Linked DNA regions of Lepisosteus oculatus. The main gene of each other region encodes a partner of the protein of the gene in region 3 in a complex. Links are inferred from orthologs where the notes say so. Each region holds a gene or a part of one and is shown on either strand. Other genes may lie near its edges.

Region 1 (7,217 bases), on a different chromosome or scaffold from region 3:
GATTAACTTTTTTTTTCTTGCTCTAGATCTACATAACCACCAAGCGGTTACCATATTTCCCCATTGTGAACTTTCTGTTTCTCATTGCTCAGCTTCCTAAGCTGCAGTACAACAAAAACCAAGGTACGAAATTCAGCTTTATAGCTCAGTGCAAGGCTGACATTTTTTTGGGCCGTTGTTGTTTGTGTGTTGCGTAATTTTAGACTTTGTATAAGCCTGACTGACAGATTTAAGTGGGATAGTTTTATGGTAATATTTCTATTCTCTGTGCAGTGCAGTTCTTTGACTTAAGGATCGTCTTATTTGTAATCTGCACTTTCAGGCCTCTGTGGTTTAGCCTTTTTTCAGTTCTGCTGCTGTTTCTGGTCTGTCTGTGCGAGTCTGTTCCAGTTTCTTTCTGCTCTTTCAGGAATGACCTGCAGAAAGTCGACTGATCCAGTTGACTGGCCTCCTCTTGTGCTGGGTCTGCTTACCCTCCTGAAGCAGTTCCATTCCAGATACACTGAGCAGTTTCTGGCTCTGATTGGCCAGTTCGTTCGCTCCATAATGGAGCAGTGCACGAGGTATCACACTACTGGGATTATTCTTTGGAAATGCACAAAATAGAACCCCTGAAATGATCACTTCTGACACGTCATCTCAGCAATTCTAAAAATACAGCAGACTATTAAGAGAGAGATTTGGTCTTTTTTTTTAAATTGTACCCATAGCTTGTCCATTAACAAATGGTCTCTGTGGCATAATCTAACCATATCTATTAATAAGGCTGTAGGTTCAGCCACAGTGGAGAATGAATCGCATTCCCCAGAAAGCTGTGCGGAATGAGTTGCTGCTTTCAGTCACTTGACCACGTCAGAAAATATGATTGGTTTGCTGATCGTGTAAAAATCAAGAAGCGGGAAAACCTCCAGGAATGGTCTTTCATGTACTTTCTGGGGACAGAGGGCAGATCCTCCCTATAGCAAATGGAACCATCTGACTGTGAGGTTATCTTTAACTACCACCTGACCAATCATCTCCTCAGAATTTGTCAGGTGACTGAGGACAATAGCTCATTCCCAACTGCAGCCTGGGTAATGTGCTTCTGATCGTCCCTGAAGCTACTGCCCTCTTACAGTATTGTTTCCTGTATTTGCCTGTATCCCACCCAGAATAGATCTCAACTGAGTCTTCACTACCAGTGATGTTCCCCTTTTCAAAGCCATCTTTCCTCACTAGAACAAAAACAATCAGGTTTGAAGATCCTGAGGACTTGGGATGAGAAGCCCAGCATTGAGGCATTTTGAAAAAGCCGTCATTCCGAGTGCTGCTGATTTAAAAACAAAAGTGGTCTCTTTCACTCGGGTCACATTTTTTCACATTATGATTTACGCCTATGGTGCCCACTTCTTTAAACGCAAAAACTGTCTTTGTTTGGAGCAGGGTTGAAAAAAGCCTACAGAAATCCAGCAGGAGCAATATAGAGTTGCTAAGGTTTTTTTTTTTAGTTTAATGTTCTTGGGTGCAATTCTAGGAGTCAGCGTTTTCTTCTAATGTATTCCCAGCCAGAAGATTCCGGAGATGCCGTCGGATGTGGTTGGGGCGCTCATGTTCCTGGAGGATTATGTGCACTATACCAAACTCCCCCGGAAGGTAAGCGGACAAGACCAGCTCTTGACCCCGTCAGGCTTAGTTCCTGTGGCTTTTACACGCAGGGGGGGAATTTAAAATTGAGAACCTCCTGGGCTGTTTCAATAGTTCCCTAATGTTAAGCAGTCGGCTTAATTTAATGTCAAGCTTTTGATCTGGCAGTGTTTGTTGCTGTCTGTTTACCTGTGAAATCTCAACATGGTGCCGTGTTTTTTGTTTCGCAGGTGGCAGAAGCCCACGTCCCCAGCTTCATCTTCGATGAGTTTCGAACAGTTCTGTGATGGGGCTGGTCACAAGACTGCAGCGGGGGGCCTGGGCCTTCGTATGACACGGCTCACCCCCTTCATCTCAATAGCCTGCGGGGGCTTCAAGCTCTAATAGGCCTTTTTCGCTTCTAGGTTTCTAACCAACGCAGTGACTGAATGTTTAGTGTCGTTAACTACGTGTCTTTAATATACAGCTATTAACTGGATAAAATGTGTGCAGTTTTGCTAAAAAACAAGTTGTCTAACAGTTTATACAAAATGCCATGTGATCTCTTATTAATAAATTAGGTGCTTCACTGTTTTGGCCTTGGTTATTTAAGCGGTACCAAACCTGTACCGTACTCGCTTGATCTACTCAACTCGGGGAAATGGAATTTGTTTTATCAGAAGAAGTAGACTTCTCAGAACGTTCCTGCCGCATGTGTGTCATAAGATCTTAATTGAGCATAAGGTGGTGGAACATTCAGTGGGTCTTTTATTATGTTTCTTTGGCAGCAAAAATGAATGGTTTTTCATAGGCCATTCCATCATTAATATTTGAATGGTCTCCCCAACCATACAAGACTTTTATATGACGCATGGCATTTCAGTTACATTAAGATTAAGTTTAGTTTTGGACCATAACATTTTCAACAAATTACTTAATTTTCATTGGTTATGTACTGTCTGGTGTAAAAAAAAATATTTTCCACCCAGTGGCAACACAGAGGTATTTCGATGTGGGGGAGTCTGAAAATTGTGATTGATATCAGTGCCCTGTGGCAAATCACACAGAGTATTGTAGTGGTCACTGGTGATAGTGATTAAATAACTACAGTACTACAGTAAAAAACTAAAGTACAGTACACTTCTTCTTTATGTCTGTTTCTTTAGTGACCCACAGCACTACTTATTTTAATACTTTGGAAAGTTTACGACAAAACCTCATCCTTCAGGCACTGAATTTGTTCTTAAATCGTGTTGGCTATACACGTATACTGTTGATATTCCATACCAAAAAAGAGTTCTCATTTACAAACATTACAAAAAATCTTACATACTGCATCCAACTCTAGTTTTATCTGTGTAAATTAGTGGTATTCCGTGTCTGTAGAAAACATAGCACATTTCTGCTTTGATTCAATTAAAACTTCTGGTAAGTATCAACCAAACCATCAGCCAGCTGCAATATCACCCTGCAACTCACAACTGGAAGCCCCACTGAAGCTCAGCAGGTGTGAGCTGAATGGGAGACCTGGAAAAGCCAACGTTGCTGCTGGAAGAGCTGTTAGTGGGGCCAGTAGGGGGCGCTCACCCTGCAGTCTGCGTGGGTCCGAATGCCTCAGTATAGCGACGGGGACGCTATACTGCAAAAAAAGGTGCTGTCCTTCGGGTGAGATGTAACACTGAGGTTCTCCCTCCCAGTGGTCATTAATCCAAGGGTGTTGCTCTGGTGTCTGTCCTCCTAATAGGGCGGAGCGGTGGCCACTGAGCAAGGCCCTTAACCCTAACTGCTCCAGGGGCGCCGTACAATGGCAGACCCTGCGCTCTGACCCCTAGCTTCTCTCTCCCTGTCTGTGTGTCTGTGTCTCCATGGAGAAAAGGTGGGGTCTGCGAAAAGACGAATTCCTAATGCAAGAAATTGTATAGGGCTAATAAAGAAACATTACATTACATTAATAATCTCCATCTAAGAATTGGCTTCATCACTCTTTCTCGTTCCCACCGATAGCTTTTGTGTGGTGAGTGTACTGTGCGCACTATGGAGGAAGTTAATAATAGCAATGATAATAATAATTATTATTGTCGTTATTATTATTAATAACCAAACATGGACACCAAGGACATGTTGAAATTTAATGGTATAGAAATTTAGAACTGAAAATAACCGTGTATCCGACTGAATCCCGTAACTCTCCGTAATCCTAAAGGAAACAGCTAATAAGGGTCTTTTTTATGTTCAGCATCTGTAATAAACCACTATAATTGACATGATAATTTTATCTTTGTGGTATTTTTTATATTCCTCTCATTTTACAGTATAAAAATTAATTTTAAACAGTCTATAGATTATAATCCCTAAAAAGACATATGTATAGGCACATCTAACACACTTTGGGTTAATTTAGGGTTTGTTTACACGAAGCCTGTTAGTATAAGCCTGTGATATAGCCTGTTGGTCCCTTATTTTAACAGGCGGTGGCACTAAAACCTAACTCTCCCTACCGAAGGTCGCAGCTCTTACGTGTTTCCTTTGAGCTAAGGAGCGTTGCCCCATGGGATACGTAGTTTGTATCGTCGTGGCTTCCAGTCCAGAAGGCAAGAAAATAACTACATGTCCCAGAAGTCAACACCAGGAAGCGTGATTTGCGGGTTGGTTTCAAAGTTTCAGGTTTGTGAAGGTGTCTTTTTTTCTTAAACATTGTTTCTGCTGTAGTTCTTACAGTGTTTAAGCATGAAGGTGATTATACAATAACATTTATTTCGTTTGTGGTAGCAAGTATTGCCGGTCAACTCAGGTTTGTATTATAGCCGCAAAATATAAACAATCCATCTGACGAGGTAATTGCTCGTCTCATTGGTGTATCTAAGCTTAGTGAATAAATGATCTTCACACGCCAGTTATAATTAGGAAAGTATCGTAATTAAAATCTTGCCAAATATAAATTTAAGCCCAAACCACTGAAAACTGTTTGTAGTGGCTTACTTCCATTTCATTCGATTTTAGAGTCAGGGTTTACGCGGCGATTTCTTAAGCTTTCTGTGAAAAATATATAATCACATTAATATAATATAGTCACATTCAAGGGATTTGGGGTTAGTAATCAGATTTCCATAAAGCACTGTAGTATCGTTGTTAGTACCTTGTCTAATTTAGTGCAATAACTTTCGGATTATGTAGAATTAGCTGTCATTTCATTGTCACGTTGTTGATGCACATTGAGCTTTCTCAAGGATGTACTATGGCACTGTAATCTTAAAATGAAAACCAAGATTAAAGGTTGTGCTTTATAATGCATAAAAAATGAGTCATATATACAACAGATTCATAAAGTGAAGTGTTTGTAGCAGGCGCGCTGATATTTTACTGAAGACTCGTGACCAGTGTTAATTCAGTGTTCTGATCAACTCGGGGTCAGTTTAGCCGTGAGAGTCATCATCAGAAGCCGTGCAAGGTGCTCATCTGTGAAGCTGCAATTCTTGCACTAAGTTGCTAAATTACTGTTGTTTGAAATAGTTTGTTTAGGCTGTACTGTCCGGTCTTGGGAATTTACAAAGATTTGCATACACGTTTTGTTTTAAAAATATCGATCCATACCTGTTCAAAATGCTCCCGCTGAAGACTGTGGGTTGGTACATTTCAGTAAATGTTAGCAACACCCAGAGACAAGGCTGAAATGTGTTGATTGCACAAGTATTCAGACCCAGGAGCTCAATATTGAGTGGACACCCCTTGGGCAGCCATTCGTGCACATTTCTAAAAGCGGATTTGCTCAAGTTCTGTCCTGTTGCTTGGGGATCACTTGTAGACAGTTCTCAAGTCTTTTCTTGAAAATAAACTATTATGGCAGACAGACAGAGAACACTCCACTGATCTCCTTATGGTAACTCTGTGCACCTCAATTAAAGTTTGCAAAAACAGAAGATTTGAATACTTATGCAATTGTGACTTTTCAGTTTTTGCTTCCAATTACTATTTGTGTACTCTTTTTGCTTTGAATGTGTGTAGTAAAATGTAAATATGCCAAATATTAATTATTACTTCAGAGTGTCAGGACTACAAGATTTAAAAGCACCGAAAACTGTGCAAGGAACTAAGTACTTTTGCAAGGCACTTGTACTGTATAGATTAACAATTTGTGGAAGTGCTCCAGAGCATTTTTTCTTCTCCCAGAATAATGAGGGTAAGGTTTTATGCTTATATTCATACCTTTTTTTCTTCGTGCGTCACGCAATTTGTTCGAAGCAGTTGTGCAAGAGGCTTTAAAAGGACAGGTGCTTTTATTTTTCTGCTTTGGTTCCTGCTGCAGTTTCAGAGAGCCGTGCAGCAATGTCGCTGAACGTGGTGAAATCAAACCTGACCTCCCTGAAGACCTGCCAGCCTGACATCAGTATAGGCATGGACATTGTGACTAATGTGGCCCTGGATTTACAAGAGAACGGAGGTGAATACTTTTATATGATCTGGCAGGCCGCGGCAGACAAACAGAATCAGTTTAGAATTGGTTGACTGCATGTATTCGTGTAAATATGCATCCAAATGTATGTATGTGCTTATGCATACATGCACACTGCCGTTAAAATGTTGGGATAAACACCAGTTCATTTTGCAGAAAGGTTAGTAACATAGTTGACGCTGTCAAGACAAATATGTCTTTCATATATATATATTCAACAGAGGATTCCAAAATATATTGAATGACTAAATACTTAATTTTCATTGAAAATATAGGTGGACATCATTGTACACATATCCTCTCTATGCAGCACATTATGTGGCTGGGAACCCCTGCCACATGACGTGTTGGACCTCTGAGAGCGGCGTGGGAGTAAAAACATTAAGGGCCATTTGGCCCATTTGGTAGTCAGTAGCTAATTAATCCAAGGATCTCATACAGCCATTTCTTGAAAGAAGCCAGGGTGTCACCTTAAACCACAACCACATGGCTGGTTAACTTGTTCCACACCCCAGCCACCCTTTAGGCTGAGAAGGGCCTCTGTATGTCACAGCTCCGCAGTTCATTCATGTTCCTTCGCTGGTCCTTTCATGATGCCTGCAGTACTGACGTCACGATGAGGGTGACGGTGTGTGTCGGGGCAGACCTGTCGTACAGGTTTCCAGCAGGTCTCGGGCCTGAGGACTGCTCAAAATCTGTGAGAGAGACAGAGGAAACAAGTCCCGGGATCCTCAAACCTCTGAGCAACTCAGTTTGTTAATATTAATGAATACATTCGTATATATTCATGAATATATGCAGATGGTAGTCGATAGCTAAGATGGTACTGTATTATCTCTGTCATGATTAGGTTTATAACCTCCATTTCCAAATTTGCCTGTCTTTTTGTTGTTTTTTTTCACCCTTTCTGAATGCTTGATATGAGGTTTGTCTTTGTGGACGTGTAGTTGCAGTGCCGACCCTCCAGTTCCCAAAACGGGGGGGAAAAAAAGGCTGGCGCTCACAGCTCCTCTAAATTACAGGCAGCGAGGAAGATTTCAAGAAGCTGGAGCAAATGATGCTGAACTGTGCAAGAATGGAGAGAGAGATCAACTATTTTGTAGCAGCAGTGGAAGAAGTGACCTCACAGGTAGGACAAGAGGGAAAAGACCTTTCTCTCCTGGTA
Region 2 (7,665 bases), on a different chromosome or scaffold from region 3:
AGCTCCCTGTACTGGTGCCTGATGAGGCGGCGAGTGGCCGGGTCATCCTCCTCGTGAATGTTGGAGCCCCCTGGCCGAGAGCCCTCCTCCTCATTGCTGTCCTCCCCAGCCCGCCTCTGAACCCCAACGCCATTTTGCGGTGGCGCAGGGGCCTCCTGTGACCTGTGGCTCGCTCTTCTTGCTTCAGACATCTCTGCCGGCTCCTGTGGGGCACCTCAATAGCCACAACCCGCCTCAAGGCTACAGAGATGAGCCTGGTCGCGCAAAAAAAAAGGATGTCATCTTTTAGTTTGTGCAAGACGGAGAATACAGAGAATAAAGCACGGAGCAGTCTGGACTATGGAAAAACAAAACCACTTTGCCTTATCCACTGTCTCCTCCTGTTCGTTTGATTCTGTGAGATCTGTTTTGGACAGGCTCAATGGGCTGTGTTCACACTATCCCTCGCAATTATTGTCCTGCCATGGTGGTGTGTAGACAGATTATATTGCATGCATTTCAAATTCTCTATGAGTGCAACATAAATCATCCAGGTCCTACTACTATGGATGAAATGAAAGACTTCCATTCAGATTTTAAGCCCTCTTGCTCTTTCTATTACAAGCTATCCTCTTACACAGGATATTTCTCTCATTGTAAGTCATATCTTATTATGAATATACTTACATAGACATTTAGAGTTAAACTATACGGAGTTACTTAAAAATAATCAGTTTTTCCCCTCGAAAGTTTGTTGTGCACGAAAGCCTAAAACTAGCCCAACTATATATATAAAACAATCAAACAACTTTGGAAGTCTGCCTTCTATCCTTACTTATGATTAAAACCGTGACTCTTCACGGTTTAGTTTTAACTCAATTTGAAATACTATTTTATTTATCCTGCGATTCATCTCCAAAACGTGCACAACACAAACCGGCGTGGGGTTTTTGCTTCAATACATGAAGGGACGTGTTATAAGGCTAGAGGACATTCAGCGCCTGCATATATCTAGTAAATACCTATTATTTACACTTGGATAAATGTTGTTGGAACAGGAACGACATCATTAACCAATTTAATATATTTTACACAAATCCCAATTTTTTAGTGATTAGTCAAAACATTTTAACGATCTGATCACAATCGAAATATGAAATCAAAACAGATCTAGATTGTCGCTTGCTCTCTTAGGTAAATTACAACCTTGTATCACCTTTCAAAATGTGGTAAAAAAACGCCATAGTGAGAATATCAACTTTTTTTACATAAATACTACATTACAATATAATGTTACGTGTTGAAGATCTGTCATACATGACTACAGGTAACCAACACAATGCGCAACCACAGGGCGTGACACACTGCTTCTTTCACACAACACAGTACATCTCTATGATTTTACAGTCATCTTCACCTATCCGGATTCTCAATGAGATTAAACTTACTTTTTTAAACTTTCGGTTTGTTTATTCTCGTGCACCAGCCGCCAATGTTTTCAAGTAGACGTCTATGTGCTGAACCGGAAGTAAAACGCGATCGTGTTATCGTCCGGAACAACCCCTGTTCTTCTCCGTAAAGGGTTCCTGCTTGTGCATGACATGGTTTCACAGACTAGCATGTATCGTTTTGTTTTTATCTTTTCAAATGTTTATTGTTGTGATTCCACGTAATAACACTGCTATTTTACGACAACAGTTGGTCTTTATCTCAGAAACAGTAATACATATTTTAGATGACTTCCCCAAAATCGTTTCACAAAATGTAAATAAAAACGCCGTTTTCTAAAAAAGATGCAAAACAGAATGCGTTATTAACCGTAAAATCATTCCACATTCAAATACTGTTTTATCTATATATTTCAATTGCCGTTACATTCATTTTCTAGCATGCAAATAACTCGAACTCCTTTTCACGTTAACAAAGTAAGTGAAACTCGTCTTTAATCTCTTCAAAGCAGGAAAAATGAACACGTTCAGTGAGGTTCCTAAATTAAAACCTTAAGAAATATTACAAGAGCAAGAGGGCATCCATCCATCCCACCCGTTGGGTATTTAGTAGGTAATTTTCCCAGATCTCAAGTGGACGTTTTTGTCTTGGTCACTTGTTCGTCTCCCACGGCCATACCTTTTAGAATTGCCCCGTGTTATCAGTTATAAATACACTTCATCGTAATTTATACTTCTGTCCACAAAGGACTCTGGAAAACTACTAGTAATTTATCTATAGAAAATACATAATTTAAACCAATATTACAATTCCCTGTTGGATGTTCAGTTTTCGTAACGCATTAAATTATATTAAAGTTCAACAAGGGAGGCTTCTTGCAGATACTGTAGTTGATTGCCCCCATGTGACTGCTTCTTGACACAAGTTTACTTGGGAAACTACAAGACTGTGTCGCAAGAGCGTGGCTCAGCAATGGGCTACGGGCGCGTCGGGGAAGCTCGCCGGCGGGTCTGGGCTGCAGCGGGACGGTCAGTCTGGGCGGCGGGCGGCTGCGAGGATGTGCTCAATCATAGAGAGCAGAGGAGTGAGGGATGGTTACAGCTGTGGCTACTGCGGCTCCAGTGAGGGCAAGGTCTCTTTTAGTAAGTACAGACGAACTATGATGCGCAGTACGTGTGGTTGCAGCCGAGTACAGTGGAAAACAATACACCAAACACAGTTGTTTGATAACTCGTGGCTAATTAACAGTCCCGTTACAATACATCTAATTTATGTTTAGTTATTTCTTTGAACCCGATCACTCATTTCTTATGGGGCTGCTTTTGATAAAGGTGTGTGTTCTATTAAAAAAGGGACCTGAGTGTTACAGTAAACCTGTGGTATATTCACCGAATTGTGCGATACAAATACCAGTAGGTGTACTGTACCATAAAAAGACTGAACGTTTTTTATATTGTCTAATTATGCTAAATTCCAGTCATGCAAAAATAAACATGGCGAGACAATAACTTCCACTACCTGTATATTCTGCAAGTCAAAGAATCAGCTGATCAAACGCCGGTCCCTCTCCGAAGTCCGAAGAGGCTATAGCTTCCGCTGGAGCGTTGTCTCCACCTGGCGACAGACAGGCGGAATTACAAGTCTTAATCCGCTGCCGCATCTCACCATCTCAGGAATAAAATGCAGGGGAAATTCGGTCTCCCTGAATATTCAAAAACGTCCCATAAAGCTCATGGGAAATGTGAATATTATTAGAGTTATTATAATCAAATGCTGAACTTGGCCTACCCCAGTATCCGTGCACTTTATTTTCCAGTTGAGCCAGCAGTAATCTTAGTGAGAACTTAGTGGTTCTCTTTTTGTTTTCAACTCTCCAGCCTTGGGAGGATTTATATGAGTAACTGCGAGTTATATCAGAATGAAGACCCGAAGATGCAGAAAGGCAGCGCTCCAGGGCTGGACAGCTTTAGATGGGGGTCTAAACTAGATCGTTCAGCTCATTCATGTACTAGCCTTTGGTACAATCAGTACTGTAATTATGCTACTGAAATTTACTATTAATTCAAACACAAGAGCTGGTCCTGTCAGATATTTAAAAAGATAAGATGGATTAGATGTGCTGGGTCACACTCCTGTGTACGGTTCCTGTAGAACTTCATATTCTGATGTTTGAATAATAAAAAAGACCTTGTTGATAGTCGTAATTGCTGCATTTTGGTCTTTGCTGAAAATTGCTACGAAAGGGTTGGTTTAATGTATGTAGTTTCTGTCAATGCAGAGACTTTCAATATTTGTGGATAAATTCAGGAGCATCTGGCTGTGTGTCTGGATTACTGGCTCCTTCTTGCATTGTCACGCAATTTTAGATCAGACTGAAAGAAATTATATTTTTTTAAGTGACACTGAAATTGTCTATGCAAATGCACTGAAAAAGTTGAATTCCCAAAGTCACACAGATGTTTTAGGTTTTATAGGTAGCTGTGCAGCCTTTAAATAGTTAAATCAAGGAATTTTGTGCTAAACCGTCCAATGCACTATTAAGATCTCAGTTAGAAAACTGTACCAACACCACAGTACAAGTCAAATATTGCTGCTCTGGAATCGGTTCAGAAAAGAGCAATCAGATGTATTCCTGCTTTCAAAGGAGTGTCATACACGGACTAAAATTATTTCACCTTTTTGTTCTTGAACAGTGAAAGCTGTGAGGTGACCTGATTCAGGCATTCACAATTTCTCCAAGGAAATCTAATCCAATTGACTCCTTAAGATCAATGGCAGAACACGGAACACAGGACACAAGAGGATGCTATGTTCAAGTTCAAGTTACAAGTTCAAGTTTATTGTCATTATACTCATATACAGGTATATGGTATAACGAAATGCTATTTAGCTAGCTCTCGGACATAAGTAGTACAAAGAAAAAAAAACTACAACAACAATTCAATTGTATAACAAAAGAAAGACAGAGACAACAGGCAATGTGCAAAACAACAAAAAGGTAACAGGTTATGTGCAAAAACATTCATTAACAGAATGAAAGGATAGAAATTATGGGGAGTGACCTTTTGACATGTATGATAGAGGTATATTTTAAATGTGTGTTTGGGATTTTGGTAAGAAAGAAAAGGCACTGTGAGGTTCAGATCATAGGTGAGAGGTGAGGTGAGAGTGAGAGAGGCTGGGAGTTTAATAGTTTGATAGTGCGGGGGTAAAAACTGTCTCTGAGTCTGGTAGTCCGGGCCCGAATGCTCCGGTACCGTTTTCCAGATGGTAGAGGGTCTGTAGCTGGGGTGTGTGGGGTCTTTAATGATGCTTAGAGCTTTCCTCAAGCACCGTCTGTCATAAATGTCCTGGATAGATGGGGGGGTAACCCCAGTGATGAACTGGGCAGTTTTCACCACCCGCTGTAGGGCTTTGCGGTCAGCAGCACTGCAGTTGCCATACCACACACAGTGGGCTTTCTGTTGTGCATCTGTAAAAGTTAGTGAGGATCTGGGGACATATCTTAGCCTTCTTCAACCGTCTTAGGAAGTACAGGCGCTGTTGCGCTTTCTTGATCAGACAGGTGGTGTTGAGAGACCATGTGAGGTCCTCGGTGATATGGATGACAAGGAATTTAAAGTGGAATTCCTTTTTCTACTTTAAATTCCAATTAAAATCCAAGGAATTTAATTGTGGAAGTCCACTTGAAACTGAGAACACCGAGGGCATTTCTGTAACACAGAGGGTCATGGGAATATGGAGCGAGCTGTCCAGCCATGCCGTTGAAGCTGATACTTGGTTCAGTTCACTACTGAAAACAAAACGGAAACATGGGCTGTAGGAGCTTCTCTAGTTTAAAACCAGTCTTGTCGTTTTAAGATTTTCCCAGGTCGCAGCAGTCTTTACGCGGAGGGAACGGAAGATGGCGCTACAGGAAATATTAATGAGTCCAATAGGATAATTATTCGGTTTGGTGTCTGTGGTATTTGTAGGTAAGCGAGCATTACGCATAAGGAAGTTCGCCGGGTTGTCAGAATCGGCTAACAATCGGCTAAAATGGCAGCGGGCAGTTCTTACACCATAGTCGAGTATTTCGGAGGGGACGATGGCTACCGGTGCGGCTACTGCAAGAACGAGCATGGGAACTTCTCCCATGGTAAGGCAGCTTTGCCGTCCCTCTTAACTTTCTCTTCTGTTTAGTTCTGTAGCTTCTCTACCAGAGCAGAAAGAGATGTGCACACAGGAGTAATTTATTTATGCAATTTATTATGGTCCTGATGATAGCTGCGCCCGACCCGCTCCGTTGTGATTTAAGTAAAAGATTACATGCAGGACTTTAGTGCATTGCCATTATGCTTACTGTGCATTTTAGGATATTTTTTGGTTAAGTGTTTTCATTATAGAGTACAGGACGTGCAAGTTGCAGCTCATAACCATTTTCTCGCCCCTAAGGAGTTGTTTAGTGCCGGTTAGTTGAGATGCTGTGCTAGAGCAAACGGATGTGTTGATGGTTCTAGTATTTTAAGATATGTTGTCTTTATGTGTTTAGGTTTATATAAACATCGCCGTAATGGCTGGTCATTGTAGCCGGGTTGCTGTTATCCGCAGTACAACAGACAAGGTTCATTACCACACCAGAGAGAGAAAGTAAAAGTTGTTCTTGAAAAGTTATTTTGAATCTCAGCTTGAGCCGTGGAATCCCGCTCTCATGAAGAAGTTCACTCTGTTGTTGTCAGTATTACGATTGGGGTTCCAGTCCTTTATCAAGATAGTGATTAGATCTATGCCCTATGAACTGTATAAATGCGTTGTTACCTTGTTTTAATCTCTGAAAGATTTCCACTTTAAATTCTGGAGTAGCTTTTAAATGATCCCTTGATTTATCCCTTTGATTTCCTCTTGCAGTAAAAAAAAACATACGTGCTGTCATGTCATGTATTGGTACTAATTGTGTTTTGTGAATCTACTGTACATGCAGAGTCTACACTGCATGACGTCTGTTTTCTTCCTTTTGGGTTTGTCTTGCTGCGGAACAGAACACTCAGATTTGCTCCACTAGATGAATTGTTTCCCTTTTTCCCTTAACTGTACTGCTCATGTAGCAGTGAACTGTGTGACCAGTTCTGGATAAGGACTGAATATTTCTGCTGCAGTGCTGACGGCTAGAGAGGCATGTGTTTTCTCCCCGGGTGCTTTATCACCCAGTATACTGTTTCAGAACTGCGCGGTGGTGTATGAATGTGTAGTGGCCTGGGAGCCTATGGCTAGGGCACAGCAATAGTGCCTACTTGGCACAGTGATATAATTAGACTCTGTCCTGTTAGCAGTTTATTTAAAGCAAAAATATCTACTTTTGGTTTTCTTTAACTTAGTGTCTTGCATCAGAATCACCTGGAGTAATGGCAAAAAGAAAGAGTAAACGGAGTATTTTATTTCTGCATTTTATTTCTTTGTTTCATTGATGACAGTTGTGAGATGTGCCTTCAATCAAGTAGTTGACTTTGACGTTTTTGCTATACCATCTTAGGATTTATCATCATTAATTTATGATGAGATATTGTTTATTGGCGGTGTGGAAAATGCATGAGTTGAAAGTAAAGAAAACAGGGGAAATATCACACCACACGCTTTAGGAATTTAAGTTACCAGTTAATTAGTTGCTCTCTCTTTTCGGGGCTGTTTGCTGAAAAGCAGAGGACGCAGTATAGGTTAGCTAAGTGGTTTACAATATGGAAAGAGTCCATGAATAGAAGACCAGCTGCTCTGCAGGGTTCTTTGAAAAGGAGCCTGACAGATCTCTCATCTCAGCTAATGACTGGCTAACTGCCTTGCACTGTTGTTCTTCGGCTGTGCATGGTCTGTATTGAGCAGGTGTGCCAAAGGGTCTGGCTTTCTTCAGAGGGGATTACAGAACCTGCAGTCAGACAGGTGTGTGCCACGGTGCTTGCAGTTCTGTATATTGCTGATGAAGTGATATCTGCAGCTCCCTTCCTTTTAGAGCACGGGCAGAGGATAAATGAAAAATGTAGGCTGACTGACAAAAGACAGATCCCTGTAGGCCATGTTAGTAAAACATTTACTGAAAACAAGTTAAAGTTTTGGCATCGTAAAAAAGAGATGTGTGTGAAGGATAAGTTTGGGGTCACAGGAAGCTCTTTAGGAATTTTAATATTAGTTGGTCCAATATTAAACAGTTCAGACCACTTTGAACTTTGCGTGATGTGGGGAGGCAGGTGGGTAGAATAAATATATGGC
Region 3 (7,264 bases):
ATAATCTGGTTACCTTAAAAAAACAATTCATAAGCATTTTTCATTAAGAATGCAAGCAGAACCATTTTTGGCTCTTTATATTTTTCTGTTTGAACCCCCACCCCCTCCAATAAGTTATTAAAATGCCAACAGTCACCTGCTCAAATGTCCTGTTGACTCGCTTGATTATTTCAGGGTAGATATTCTTGTATTCCTTAATCACCTGCCTCACAATATCTGTAAGAAAGAAAATGACAGATATAGAACACACAAAAAGCTGCATATCTGCAGATTTTAGCACGACGTCTTGTCTCAATGTAAGTCCTTGATGAAACATCAACCTTAAAGGTTACTTTTATCAAAGACAAACAAGTGTAATTGCCAAGTACCAAATAAGTCATTAAATCTCAACTGGAGGAAGTCACTTAATTAAAAACATACAAAACAATTTAAAAATCACTCCTGAATTCAGTACAGTGATCATTACAGATTCACTACTTGGATTAAGAAGTAAAGACAGTATAGGTTTATTGAAGAAAAGCAGGCAGAGAGATTTTTTCCATGAGTGGAGACAGGTAGGTGTGGTTGGTTGTTTGTAGAAGGCTTATAAGGGATAGTCCTGTTGAATAGTTAATCTCTGAGATTTTACATGCTTACCAGCTCGTTTGATAGGCACCTTCTTCTGGTCCTTTATTAAGATATACTGCACAACCTCAGCCACCTAGGACAGAAAAAACAAAAAAAACATACTGTGGTCAGCAGGGGTCTTTACAACTAGAAACCAAATATTCTGTAACAGTGTGCAATGTAAGTGGAAAATCACAATGGAGCAATAAACTCAAAGCAGCAAGTTAATAAAACCTCTGGAAAATTCTCAGATTAAGCACAGTCTGATTTTACTGAGGGCTTAAAAACACCACATATGATGGCAAGGATTCCAAAAATATCCAACTGGTTTTTAGCGTTGTAATTTTATAAATATGTTTTTATAAGACTATTGTGGTATATTAGACTCTAAGACTTTGTGAGCAAAGAAAGAAATATGAAATACAAAAGTGCAATCGTAGCACCATAAGCAAAACACATAAAAGAATGGTTATGTCTCTTGAGCTCAATCCATTATATAGCATACTGTATGTCTAACTGCACCACACATAGACAGAACACTATCAACTCAGCTTTAACAAAGAGGGTTTTACAAATCTCAAGACCACCCACTTCATCATGGCAGAAATTACTACAGAAAAAAGGAATGGTTCATTGGTATTTAGGAATAGTGCTTAAATACTCCCTTCATTCTAATGAACAATTACAAATAAATGAAATTTTGGTACAACTACTATTGTTAAACAAAATATTAATCACAGAGAAGCACTACTTCCTTTCTACAAACGAAAATCAAAATGTTCCTGTACATGACATCCAAAGGCCCTGACCACTCTACCTTTTGGTCAACTTGAGTGGGAGTCAGGTGCTCCAGACCCCTCTGGACCTGTGAGGATGTGGGCTGGGTGAAGGACACGTCATCATCTTCATCTTTACTCTCGGTGTGCTGAGACTGGGGTAAAAACAGAGTAGAGACCAGTGTTAGACATGACTATATTTATATAACTAAATGTTACTAGCATTATCAGTTTACTTGAATTATTACTTAAAGCCTCCACTGGTGTTTCTATTAAAACAACTTATACATAATACAACTTAGTCTAGAAGAGAATAAAACTAGCTCATTTTTTATCTTTGATTCACAATCACAACAACTCAGGGTAAACTACAAGTGAACAGCCAGTATAAAGTGCTGTAGTTGCCAATCCACATCTACAAATCACATCGCACTGATTCCTTGTGATGAACATCCCTTGCTCTTGTCTATACATCCTGAAATCTAAAAGGCTACTTTTGTCATGCTACAAAATACATATCTAGCAAGATTAGCAGAGACTCAAATTTCAGTTGAAGATAGACTTCGTTTCTGGATAAGGAAGGAAAACAATTCAATGAAATTCAAGTTAAATTTTATATTTTTTTATTTTATAATATTAGTTTTGAGGACAACAAAATGATACAACATAACTACCACTGCAAATCAAGTATTCAGAGGAGTATATTATAATTATTTTACTTTTTTCCCCAAAAATCAAATGGCAGAGGTGTTAAACAAATTTCTAAGTTTATTACCATTGCGTCTTGAAGGCAGTGTAAATTCACAGAAGAGGGGGTGCATTCCACAATGCTGTTAACCTTCTTTACCATCCTTAGATTGTAGGGTGCATTTAAACTGACCTGACTTACCTTAATATTCTCCCAATTGACAAAAAACACCAATACTACACCAAAGAAAGTATTATTGTTTAAACAAAACAGTAAAAGGGAAATATTTATATTCATAGGCTACACAAAACATTTTAAGTAACTTTACTTAAAGTAAATTTACTGACATCTCTACTTTAAAGGCTAGTACCTACATTACAAACTTTTACAATGAGTTGGGCTAACGAGTTGAGCTTCTAATCAAAGACTATTCTAATTCAGCCATACTCAAGAAGATTTTTTTCCTGCAAGAAATCCACTTACCCTAGAGGCTGTGCCCTGTGAACTCTGTCTTGCTGAAACCCTTTTCCTGAATTGTGACATCATGAAATCTGAAAATAAGAAAACAAAAAGCATTGTACACAAAAATGACGGAGTCAAATATGAGCTTCTATTTATATCTAGACCATTAGCTATGACGTTTCAACATACACTAATACGAGCTTTTTATATTACGTTCAGGAGCAAGGAATATTAAAAAAAACCTTCCAATTTAACAGTAGCAGTCGCAACATGTTACTATGATTCACACTACAAATCATGTAAACTATACTCATACATTAAGAAACCTGTATATTATTTTGCTAACGCTACATGGAGCAAAAACAAAAAAAAATAACTTACCTTTATCTACAATTTTAGAAATGTAAAGTTTAGCCACTTCTTTAATATTTAAGCATAACTATCTTGCGCCTTCCTACCCAAGCGGCGCGGTTTAATTACGACACGATCGCGTTAAAGTGACATCAGAGGATTAGTTGGATTCTCACGTGTGAAAAGTAGCTGCGTTCGCTTTGCACTAGAGAATGTTTGACGCAACACGCAGCGGACTTGAAAGATACAACTGCAAGAGTCTACATCGTACGATAGTGAAAATAACAGTGATTATTACTGTACTGTAGCTACCTACTGTTACATGTAATCATGGTTGGCAATAATGAAATCTAATAATCGAAAAAGTAATATTTAATTTTCAGCCACATTGTGTTACATTTTTCAAAAGCAAATAAAACAATAACGATCTCCCCATTTCAGCCCTTCCACCAACCATACTATCGGTAGTTTCTGATCCGTGCAAAGGATTCCCTTTACTAGAATCAGACTGCTGCAATAAAAACAACGTGATCACAAGCTCAGGGGAAAAGTTCCATCTTCCTCTGAGGCTCGGAACTCCACAATGTACAGTATTACGTTGCGATTGCCACATGTCCACCACAGTGTGGGTACCCTAATGCTTCATCTGTGATATGGCCACACTCTGGACAGGTGGTGTAAGGCAAATGTGTGGGCACAGTAAAGACACTGGAGGTAACTGAAACATTACTGTCCTGCACGATACATTATCCTCCAGGGGTTGGCTGAAGAGGAGGTCTACAAAGGTCCACCATTCCAGTCCAAAGAGCTCTGAAGCTGATTTTAGAACAGTGAATTTCAGCACTGTGTTCCAATAGGAATTATATTTGGACATCATCTAACAGCCTGATCATGACCTCTGGAAGCAGTTCAGTGATCATGGAAGCTCTTTCTTAGGACACCTTAGAGGAAAGACACACCTGACGTGATGTTCTCTTCTGAGGAGAAGTCCCAGAATGTCTATGCCCATGAATCGCTCACGCCTGCTTCATTCCTGGAATGGGTCATAGGAAGATGTGCCAGCAGCCATATCACCCTGCAACTCACAACTGGCAGCTCACTGAAGCTAAGCAGGTGTGAGCCTGGTCAGTACCTGGATAGGAGACCTCCTGGGAAAAACTAAGGTTGCTGCTGGAAGAGGTGTTAGTGGGGCCAGCAGGGGGCGCTCACCCTGTGGTCCATGTGGGTCCTAATGCCCCAGTATAGTGATGGGGACACTATACTGTAAACAGGTGCCATCCTTCAGATGAGGCGTAAAACCGAGGACCTGACTCTCTGTGGTCATTAAAAATCCCAGGGTGTTTCTTGAAAGGAGTAGGGGTGTAACCCCGGCGTCCTGGCCAAAGTTCCCATTGGCCCTTACCAGTCATGGTCCTCCTAACAATCCCCATCTATGAACTGGATTCATTACTCTGCTCTCCTCCCCACTGATAGCTGATGTGTGGTGAGTGTTATGGGTGCTGCACATTGGTGGTGGTGGAGAGGAGTCCCCATTACCTGTAAAGCACTTTGAGTGGAGTGTCCAGAAAAGTGCTATATAAGTGTAAATAATAATTACTATTAAGAGTCCTGTAGACTCTTAAAGGCTGGTAAAGAGTATTGTAGCACCCTCGTCCTTTGGTGAGGAGGAAGCACACCTAGGCACTCAGGGTACCGGGAAGCAGGCTGGGTGTTGTAGCCTTGAGGAGTCTGAGGGTCAGCACGATGACCAGCAGCTGACCCTGCTTATGTAAATAGTGTTATATTAGTTAAAGTGTCCTGTGTAGCTTTGTAAGTGTATAGTCTTCTGTTAACGAGTTACCACCCTAAACCTGTGAACTGAACGTGTTACGTCGGTCCCCTTGTGTGTGTGTGTGTAAATGCTGTGCTTGGTTTGGTGTTGAAAGGTGGTTAAGAGTGGTTGGTTGGTGTTTCTATCACGTTTCCATTTGTACTTTGTTTTACGTGAACTCAAAAACGCTACAGTATAATGCCCAGGGAACCAAGCTTTGACCAGGGAAACCCACTGGCAGGCACCCACCACAAGCAGTGCATTTTCCCCATCCTGCAGGACCAGCACACCCCATTAAATAAAAAATACCCTGACCCCACAGAATTGATAGTTCTCTGGAATTTCAAAAACATAATTTTGTCTGGACCTAGACAAGATGGATCGGACGTTTCACAGATGTAATAGTAAAGGTCAGAGTTTATATAAAAGTTTTCCCCCCTTCTTGACTAACAGTCCATTAAAATACAGCACGAAGGCGAGGTAAAATGTATAGCCCTGTTTAAAATGTTATCTGCCCACCAGAAAAGTGTTGAACGGGTTAATATCCAGAAACCTCTTCCATGGGAATCTGCTCCAGTCAATCACGTCCTTCTTCTGCAGGAAATTCTGAGAAGTTTATTTTGCAAAGCTTTTCCTCTGTTGTGTTGCGTTGTTTTCTCGTGTACGTATGAGCTTGGCTTCACATTCTGTTTCCCGTACCTTGTAGTTCAACCATTTTAAAGCAAATCGCCATTAACAGATATGTAGTAACGTATGACTTGTAAGCTAATTTGTGTATTTGTTTCTGAAGATTCTTGTACACATTTTAAAATGTACAACCCACATATTGGAATTAACATGTGCAATGCAAAGATGTCTCGTATCATATTAAATATGGTAAAAAGGCTCATTTTCAACTGTATTTTTCAGATTTCCACACAGAAACCTGATCACTCTAAAGGGCGTTAAACGTTACCATATAAATAATACAGACCTACTGTACTTGTTATGCAAGTACATTTGCATAATGTACGTGTTTCCTTTAGCTTTTTTTTTAAAACGGTCGTCTATATCTAAGTCAAAATGTTCAATATTTCAGACTTTGAAAGAAAGTTCTTTAGAGGCACGTCCCAGCCCGTTAAACCTTTGAAATGACGCGTTTACGTTCAGGTATAACTGGCAAAGAAAGACGGCGCCTTCAAGGATTAATGTATATATTTAATCCTTTGTCTCTTGAACATTTCACTCACATCCAAAAACAGCAACGTTTCATGAAGCTTCGTTTGCACCCACATCACACATCCTAGAGTCACACCTCCCAGGAGAGCGCTTTTAAACGCTGCGATCTGTATCTGTAAATAAACTGCGCACTAGTTTTCTCGCAGCTCATTTGAAGCCATAGAGCACAGGAAATCAACCGCGAATTTAAGAATATTAGTTACTAAAAATGAGAGGCATCTGGATTATCACATTGCTATATTTTGTCTTATTTTGCTTCATGACATCTGTCCAAAGAGGATCATCTGAGGAGTACCGGGCTCGTTTCCAAGATTCACCCAATAAAGCAGACGCCAATGTATACCTGGAGGTATGGTCTTTTTAAAATTGGTTTTACAACGTTATTGTGGAGCAATATTAGACTTCGGGCTTGAAAGTATTCGTACCACAGAGCTGTTAACAAGATCATTGTAATAAGCTACAGAAGCTCTTGAACTGGCAAGAAGAAAAATGCTACCTGGTTGCCAAGAGAAATATCTATTGTTTATTTAAAGCGTAAAGTACAGAATAAAGTATTTAAAGACAATGCAAAAAAGGCGCAAAGTTCTGACTTTAAGGTCGATATGTATACTAATATATAAACACACCTTGTTTCATCCACGCAGATAAATTTGTCAATACTTCGTTTACATGCGCATTAAGAAGCAATCTACAGCTATTACGTTTAAAATGAGTGAGGAGGTATGTACTGCATAGCGTTAAACGTAACCATATTGTTGTTGTTGATTATGACAATTGTAATGATAATGACTTTAAAGAATAGTACAAATGAGAGGAGACCACGAGTCCATAGAAACAGAGATGTTTCTGTATTGATTGGTGTGTATTGTGTGAGCAGGTATTACAGGGGGATGAGGGGTTATCATGCCCTAGGGAGCAAATGTTTGCACTCAATGGTTCCAACCCTTTACCGAAAAATATTTTTATCCAACATAAATAAATCGCTTGTTACGAGAGCCCACTCCAGAAAATAAAAAAAGTTTAACGCTTACTCCTGCACATTTCGGAAGTTCATCTAAGCAGTTGTAAATCTTTTATATTTTTAAACCCTTTTTGTTTGTTTCTGTCACGGAATGGATAGTGGCACTGAAAGGTAAATGATAATAGTTGTAGACTGAAATCAAAATCAGAATCAAGATAGCTTTTATTGGCCAAATAAAGTTCATATACAAGGAATTTACTCCGGTGCACTGGATACGCTGCGTGTGTCACATGACACACAGCCCAGGGGAGTGGGTTCGTGTCCCACGGCGGGCGCAAGGTTCTTGCAACCAAGGAAGTCTCCAGTTGTGACTCGTACCACTGGACCCAAGC
Region 4 (6,932 bases), on a different chromosome or scaffold from region 3:
GTGGAAAGTCAGTAAAAACAGTATAAAATGCAGTTCAGTGCCACAGACCTTACTTGGTGATCCTGCTAGAACAATGGAATTCGACTGGGTAGCAAATATTTCAAAACTTTGTGAAATAAATGACAAGTCAGTCACACTTGAACTATTCTTTCAGCCATGGAAACCTGATATACTGTATTATTCAGTAGGTGCTCCTAATGTATTAGCCAGTAAGAGTTAATGTCTACATCACTGTCAATTTTGGACAGTCAGAGTTATTCTGCATCTCTGGTACCTTAAACTAGTGTTTATCAACCTTTTTTGTGCCAGAGATCAGCTCTTCTTCCTTATTTGTCAACTTCTTAAGATAAAAGCAAAACTATAAAAGAAACAGTCTTAAATTCACTCATTATAACTATGCCTCTATGGCTCAGTTTGTGAAGTCTCAGTCAGCACTGTTCCAAAGACTGGTGGTGGTCAGTGGGTCCAGAGGTTGAGCAACACAGCCTTAAGCATTTAATAAAAGCTGTTGACCAGATCAATGAAGTATGGACAACCTGAAAATGTGCTGGTGTTTGTACTTATTGTGTTTAGTATAATGCCATATAATATACAGATTACTGTACTGCTAATGAAATTCTGCACATTTTTATCCCAGCTTCTGGTGTTTATCGCTGTTCAATAAGAAATTGACAGGGAATAAGAGAATGAGACATATTTTATTAATATTTTAATGTTAAAACAGAAAATAGTGTTTTACTAAATATTTTAGCATGCACATTCTTATATTATCCACACTTGTGATTAGTCAATTTATCTAATAGATCAACTTTCACTGCTACTTTTAATTAAGCTGTCTGTTTATTCTGTGAACAACATACATTGCTTGTGTGAATAATGAAGGAATGGATTTTTAACAAAAAGAGTAACAATTGTAAAGAAATCATCAAGTAGCATGCTTTTACACATGATGATACAATAAAGCATGAGATTCAAAAGCAAATGTATTTTTTTTGCAAGCCATGTTCAAGTAGGAAACCTTACTGATCTCAAATGAGTTTAGAGAATCAACTCATAACACAGAACAACCAAGAAACATCAGAATAGATCTTGGACTGATGGTTTATAGGTTATTTAAGCATACATATGTGGCTTTAAAAAATGAAAGAACACCACTTCATTAGGCTTTCGTAGCAAATGATATTAAACATAAAAACAATAGTATGTAAAGGAACAACAAATACAACATTTCAGCTGTGGTGCGTGAAGAAGAAGACCCACACCCAAAGAAGGCTCCACAGAGGCTTTTTTTCTCTTTCCAGCATGGAATAAACCTTTACTTGTTCCTTTGCAACCTAAACATGCTGACGCAGCTACCTACAACAGTATTGTTATTTTTCAACAGCATGTCAATACAAGCATCTTTCTAGTGACATAATGCAGTGAATAAGATTTGATATTGGACAAGAAATATTTCAAAACACCACACTGAAAGTGAAGGTGTGAATGTATTTCTTGGTAACAGCTGAAGCAAAGAGGAATAGGCATCTTCTTGTCTTACCTCTGTGCACCTCGCAGCAGTGCCTGTGCAGGGCCCTGGCTTTGGAGCCCTCTATTATCCCACAGCACATCAGAGACTGGAGGAACCTCCGGTGGCTGTCCGTCATGTGCTTGGCCATAGCCTAGGTTCTTTTTCCCCAAATCCCTAGCAAAAAACAAGAAAGAGCACGCCATCAACTGCAGAAAAAAGCCTGCTAATGAACTGAAAACGTATTACACACTACCCAAAATATTGTTAAGATGCCCTTATCTAGTCTGACCTTATGCTTAAATTCAATTATATACACTGTATATTAAAAACAGGGAACATATGTGCAGAAACAATGCATACAAATAAATTAATAAAAACACTAAGGCTAGCACAAAACCTGTGAAGAAACTCTCATGTCAATAAAAAACAAACAATAAGAACTAAAACGGTGTTGGTGCGAAAGCTTTTTTGGAATATTATTATTATTCAGTAAATAAGGTTGACGTGAATCATAGAGTGTAATTTTTAGACAGGAAGAATAACTCAACATTTTTGTCATTTTAAGAATATGAACTTCATGACTACGATCTCTTGGTTAGGAATAAACTATCCCCTGCTGAACAGGAAATCAGCCATAAAATAAAAGCTAGGCAGCTACAGTAAGTGATAACCTAATTTACTTTACACAATGAAATACTGCAGTGTTACAAGGCATAATATTCAGCTAAAACAATAATATTCAGTTAGAACCATTTACAAACACTTTTTTATATTATTACAGTCCTTGCAAATAGTAATATAAAATGTATTTGATAAAATAATAACCTAATAAAGTCTGGATTAAAAGGAAAGCACAAATATTTCAATACCAGTTATAGCGTGTTACTGGGGCCTTGGTATTTTAATTACGCATTGCATTTCCTTATATTGGCAATTTATATAGTTTCCTTGTGCTTTTCACACATCTTTTCAATAAAATATTCCACGGTAAAATACAAGTACTGTCGAAGTTACACGTACGATTATAGCTTTACTATAGTTCAGTTATGTGTTCAAATATGACTTTTTCAGACCGCACCGCAATCCACATTCCTCCGAACTACTACTATTGCCACTGGCAAATGTCAAGCAGAGAGAGTCGTGATTGGACAATGCGCACATACATCACATGAGAAACCAGATGAAAATGATTTTCGCTTCCTTAAAAATAAGTGGTTTAGTCACGTAACCTTTACATAACATGTCTTACCGTTTGCCTACAGACTTTAAAACGACAAAATAAGTAGTTTCAGTCTATCCTCTACAACAGACAGTACGCAAATCACTCTCCTCAATAGTAGTTTGTACAAGTCAGTAAAATTACATACTCCAAAGAGCCGAACCGTATCAATGTGACCTGTTCCTGCAGGTTAAGACGCTCTGGAGATACACTGGAAGAGACCAGTAAACTCAAAAGAGCAATAGCGTGAAGCTAGCTACAATAAACGACTCTGGCTTGGCAGCACCTTTCAAAATAAAAGTCTCCTAAAACCTGGCTCATATAAAATAATCCTGTACCAGTTAAAGTCACATTTATAGCACAACAACAGTTTGTTCATCCTCAAAACTATGTGAAATGTGATAAATAGACCCACAAATAATATAAAATTGCCATTCTTCATTAATTTTTTGCAATCTTATTGGTGTTTTTATATCACTTCCTCCTTGCAAATTGACATAGAGCTGTGCACTGCTAGACAGGAAAAAGTATCATTCCTGACAAAAAAAAATGTGCCTCTCCAAAAGTAGTTAAAATCTATTCTACAGACCCACAGCTAATAGAAAATCACCATTGTTTTCTCAGATAAGTGTCTCTATCAAAACTGCTGGGGTTTATAGACCACCTCCCATTCCTAGACTGGGCCCATGCAGTGATGGGCAGGGAGCGGTCTCACTCCCTTCCTGACCAAACAAACATTTGTGTCTCTCCAAAAATACCTCAAATCTACTCTATAGACCCTCAGCTAATAGTGCATAACCATGGATCATGCATAAGTCATTATAAGTGTCTTTGCTAAAGTTGCTGGGGTTTAGAAGACCACCTGCTGTTCCCAGACTGGGATGGTGCAGTGGTGGACAGGGAGTGGTCTCACTCCCCTCCCAACCAAACCAAAATTTGTGCCTCTTCAAAAGCACCTCAAATCTATTCTACCGACACTCGGCTAATAGAAAATCACCATGGTTTTCTCAGATTAGCATTTCTGTCAAAACTGCTGGGGTTTATAGAGCACCTCCCATTCCCAGACTGGGACTGTGTAGCGATGTGCAACATTTGTGCCTCTCCAAAAGTGACTCAGATCTGTTCTACAGATCCTCAGTTAATAGTACATCACCATGGTTTTGCCAGATGAGCGTCCTTTGCCAATGTTGCTGGGGTTTATAGGGGCCTTTTAGTGGCCGATACTAGATTTGTTTCGAAGGGCATGTTATCGCAATGTGGGCATTGTTAACACTTCACCAGTGGATCTTCTTTTCTGGTTTGAAATAAAGTGTCAATTTCACACTTTCTTATTAAAGTGTATCGAAACAGCCAAAATATTGAATAGACCTTCAATGGTGATGTGTCTTTCCTGGGAAGGTGGCTCTGCCAAAGACATGGCATGGAGCCTTTTTGATTTGATCCGGTAATGTGGAAACGATGGCTCACATGTTGCCCAAGTACCAGTTGATAATTGATTCCCCCCATGAGTTCCGATAGACTGGGAAGTAAAGATGCATTGCAGGTGTTCTGCATCAAAACACTAGACTTTCTCTTAAATCAGATCAGCTTTTATTATTTTGAGTGTAGAACTACTCAGACAGCATTCAAACGCTGCTTTAGCTGTATGGCCTATTGTCCTTTGGACATATAAATTCTGCACAGAAATTAAAAGTTAAAACCCTCATTTAGCAAGCATCGCACCCCACCTTTGGTTTTTTTTTGGCTGATGGGTAATTTACAGATGCATTATGGTTTTTGCCTTTTCAAAACACTGCCAGTCATCCACTCTATGTCTAAGAATGGTTACTCCGTGTCACATCTATGGTTTTGGTCACAATACTATGATCTTTAGTGTCAGCATTACTTTGGTTGGGATCACGGCTGTTGTTTACACTTTTCCCTGTCCAACACTGCACAGTCCCAGTCTGGAAACAGCAAGCGGTCCTATAAACCCCAGCAACTTTAGCAAATAATTATAATAATAAGAATTGCTTACACTTATATAGCGCTTTTTCTGGACACTCCACTCAAAGCGCTTTACTGTAATGGCTCCACCACCACCAATGTGCAGCATCCACCTGGTTGATAAGCAAAGACACTTTCTGACAAATCCATGGTTATGTACTATTAGCTGTTAGTCTTTAGAGTAGATCTGAGGTATTTTTGAAGAGGCACAAATTTTGTTTTGTTCGGGAGGGGAGTGAGACCACTCCCTGTCCATCACTGCACGATCCCAGTCTGGGAACAGCAGGTGGTCTTATCAACCCCAGCAACATTAGCAAAGACACTTATCTGAAAAAAAAACACAGTTATTTTCTTTTAGCCAAGGGTCTGTAGAATAGATCTGAGGTATTTTTGAAGAGGCACAAATTGTTGTTTGGTCGGGAGGAGAGTTAGACCTCTCCCTGCACCATCACTGCATTGTCCAAGTCTGGGAATGGGAGGTGCTCTATAAACCCCAGCAGTTTTGACACAGACATTTATCTGACAAAAACAAGGTGATTTTCTATTAGCTGAGGGTCTATGCAATAGATTCCATCCACCTTTTGAGAATCACAACTTTTTCCAGAGGTGATCCACCCAGACCAACAATATTAATAAAGACTTAAAACTGAATGAAGAAGGGTGATTTACTATTGGCTGACTGTCTTAAAACTGTATGTTACACTACTTTTGATGGTGCAAAAAATATGTTTTTGTCCCTGGTTATAGTTTAAAAAACTGATTGAATTAAAATATAATAAAGGATTTGATTTAATTAGAAATTTCAGATACAGCTCCTTTAAAAGCTTCCATCTTAAAACCTTTTGCATTGAACAGACAAAAAACATTTATATGAAAAAATATAGCAATGACAATTTTTACAGTAGTATAAATGGAAGAAATGTGCTGTAAAATTAATAAAAACTTCCAATAATCTTAGATTTGTCGAATTGGAGATTAGTGGAGGCGATTTAAAATTAAAAAGGACCCTCTCAAATTTTGGCGGAATGTTCAAGGAATTACATTTAACCACGAAGAAATAACAAAGCAGAAGTTTCAGCTGCTTGTCACTTCGCTTAATGTTGCTACAGTATACTCCTCATACGCTCCTGTGGTAGCTGAATAACTTTTATTTTGATTGAAATTCGGCTATTTACATACACTTCCGGATCATTCGTGTCGCTTAGTGTAACTAGCTTCACGCTACTAGCAAGAGCACAGCTCCTTCTCACCCGGACGAAATTACCGGCTGTACCCAAACACGAACATGCGCAGTCCGATTGGTCCCCAGTTCCGGTTCATTGGTGGCGAAACCGCAGTTCGAGACACTGGGTCGCGGCTTGTGAGTCCTCGCAGGACTGCACACACCGGTTTAGTGTGTCAGGAAAATAAAAGTGGCATCCCTTGCAGCTCTATTAGCTGTATGTTGCAACTTTCTTTAGGGGAGAGTATTTCACTGCGTATGACCGAACGTATAGTGCGACTTTCCTGTTTACAAGAACCTAAAGCGCTGTACAAATAAACAGCATAAAATATCAACACTTGAAAATAGAAAAATAAAACACAACGAAAACAGAATGTAGTAAACACCAGAAATACAACGATAGGTTGTGAATGCTGGTTTCCCCACTGCCTACATTTCAATAAAGCAAAACTGAAACCTGGACGACTCGCAGTACTGTAAGGCTCTGTTAAAGCTGTGCAGAACTGTGCTAATGCAACTCATTGTTCCAGTTAAGTTTATGAAGTGCATGATATATCAGGCACAGTATATACTGCACATGTACATATGTAATTTGATTAACAGGTTAGTTTAAAAAGCGAATTAGTAGAGAGTTAAAATAAGCTATTTATTTGATGCTTATAACAATATTGTACAACAATCAGTGATTGTTTAGCTTTTATTTAAATCAGCCTTCTACTGTATAAGCTTCCAGAGACACTACGAACTGTTTGAGGGGGCATCATACAAGGTGGATATTGACTCTTTTTCCGGGGGTGACAAAGCGATTACTATGTTGAAAAAACGGATGAATATTACATTTACATCTGCAATGGCCTTGTTCGACCTATGGGTGTGTTCTGCTGTTAAAATTGATTACTTTTTAACATTCTTATTGGATGCTCAGTTAAAATCTCGCAAAGAACAAATATATAAGAAGTGCTCATTCACCCGATTCCTTTAACCTATTGAGGAGC

What was found.
Region 1: ndnl2 (region 3) and nsmce2 share a complex: the UniProt entries of both Homo sapiens proteins name them as parts of the SMC5-SMC6 complex. The link is inferred for Lepisosteus oculatus from reciprocal best matches to the Homo sapiens genes NSMCE3 and NSMCE2.
Region 2: ndnl2 (region 3) and nsmce4a share a complex: the UniProt entries of both Homo sapiens proteins name them as parts of the SMC5-SMC6 complex. The link is inferred for Lepisosteus oculatus from reciprocal best matches to the Homo sapiens genes NSMCE3 and NSMCE4A.
Region 4: the proteins of ndnl2 (region 3) and nsmce1 are in contact, whole or in part, in a crystal structure (PDB 7DG2), measured with the Xenopus laevis proteins. The link is inferred for Lepisosteus oculatus from reciprocal best matches to the Homo sapiens genes NSMCE3 and NSMCE1. Residues at the interface, in XP_018121157.1 of Xenopus laevis: Gly57, Glu58, Val60, Gln61, Tyr62, Leu64, Ile65, Lys66, Gln68, Lys69, Val82, Thr100, Gln102, Gln103, Val104, Phe105, Gly106, Phe107, Asn123, Leu125, Gln126, Arg127, Val128, Gly130, Asp131, Gly132, Met133, Arg134, Asp136, Glu137; in NP_001083134.1 of Xenopus laevis: Ile5, Glu7, Gln10, Arg11, Leu13, Gln14, Ala15, Met17, Ser18, His19, Leu30, His33, Leu37, His38, Leu54, His57, Leu58, Pro60, Leu61, Phe62, Met63, Val84, Asn86, Ile88, Thr89, Met91, Ala92, Ser93, Asp94, Gln149.

Annotation. Positions count from the first base shown.
Region 1 is NC_090705.1:7,654,197-7,661,413, forward strand, and holds the start of nsmce2 (E3 SUMO-protein ligase NSE2), read left to right. Parts: upstream 1-4,194; 5' UTR 4,195-4,266; intron 4,267-4,285; exon of another isoform or gene 4,286-4,393; intron 4,394-5,905; 5' UTR 5,906-5,925; coding exon 5,926-6,040; intron 6,041-6,209; exon of another isoform or gene 6,210-6,747; intron 6,748-7,074; coding exon 7,075-7,181; intron 7,182-7,217. Other genes in the region: washc5 (WASH complex subunit 5), read left to right, coding at 27-123, 410-563, 1,545-1,632, 1,854-1,910. UniProt on the Homo sapiens protein: E3 SUMO-protein ligase component of the SMC5-SMC6 complex, a complex involved in DNA double-strand break repair by homologous recombination. Is not be required for the stability of the complex.
Region 2 is NC_090699.1:29,679,754-29,687,418, reverse strand, and holds the start of nsmce4a (non-structural maintenance of chromosomes element 4 homolog A), read right to left. Parts: upstream 3,017-7,665; 5' UTR 2,947-3,016; intron 2,571-2,946; coding exon of another isoform or gene 2,486-2,570; exon of another isoform or gene 2,360-2,485; intron 1,534-2,359; exon of another isoform or gene 1,428-1,533; intron 255-1,427; 5' UTR 192-254; coding exon 1-191. Other genes in the region: arginyl-tRNA--protein transferase 1, read left to right, coding at 5,467-5,566. UniProt on the Homo sapiens protein: Component of the SMC5-SMC6 complex, a complex involved in DNA double-strand breaks by homologous recombination. The complex may promote sister chromatid homologous recombination by recruiting the SMC1-SMC3 cohesin complex to double-strand breaks.
Region 3 is NC_090697.1:67,138,611-67,145,874, reverse strand, and holds the start of ndnl2 (necdin-like 2), read right to left. Parts: upstream 3,019-7,264; 5' UTR 2,914-3,018; intron 2,622-2,913; 5' UTR 2,617-2,621; coding exon 2,554-2,616; intron 1,538-2,553; coding exon 1,424-1,537; intron 701-1,423; coding exon 637-700; intron 217-636; coding exon 137-216; intron 1-136. Other genes in the region: itih6 (inter-alpha-trypsin inhibitor heavy chain H6), read left to right, coding at 6,120-6,260. UniProt on the Homo sapiens protein: Component of the SMC5-SMC6 complex, a complex involved in repair of DNA double-strand breaks by homologous recombination. The complex may promote sister chromatid homologous recombination by recruiting the SMC1-SMC3 cohesin complex to double-strand breaks.
Region 4 is NC_090714.1:8,814,285-8,821,216, forward strand, and holds the start of nsmce1 (non-structural maintenance of chromosomes element 1 homolog), read right to left. Parts: upstream 3,006-6,932; 5' UTR 2,878-3,005; intron 2,864-2,877; exon of another isoform or gene 2,760-2,863; intron 1,685-2,759; 5' UTR 1,659-1,684; coding exon 1,541-1,658; intron 1-1,540. UniProt on the Homo sapiens protein: RING-type zinc finger-containing E3 ubiquitin ligase that assembles with melanoma antigen protein (MAGE) to catalyze the direct transfer of ubiquitin from E2 ubiquitin-conjugating enzyme to a specific substrate.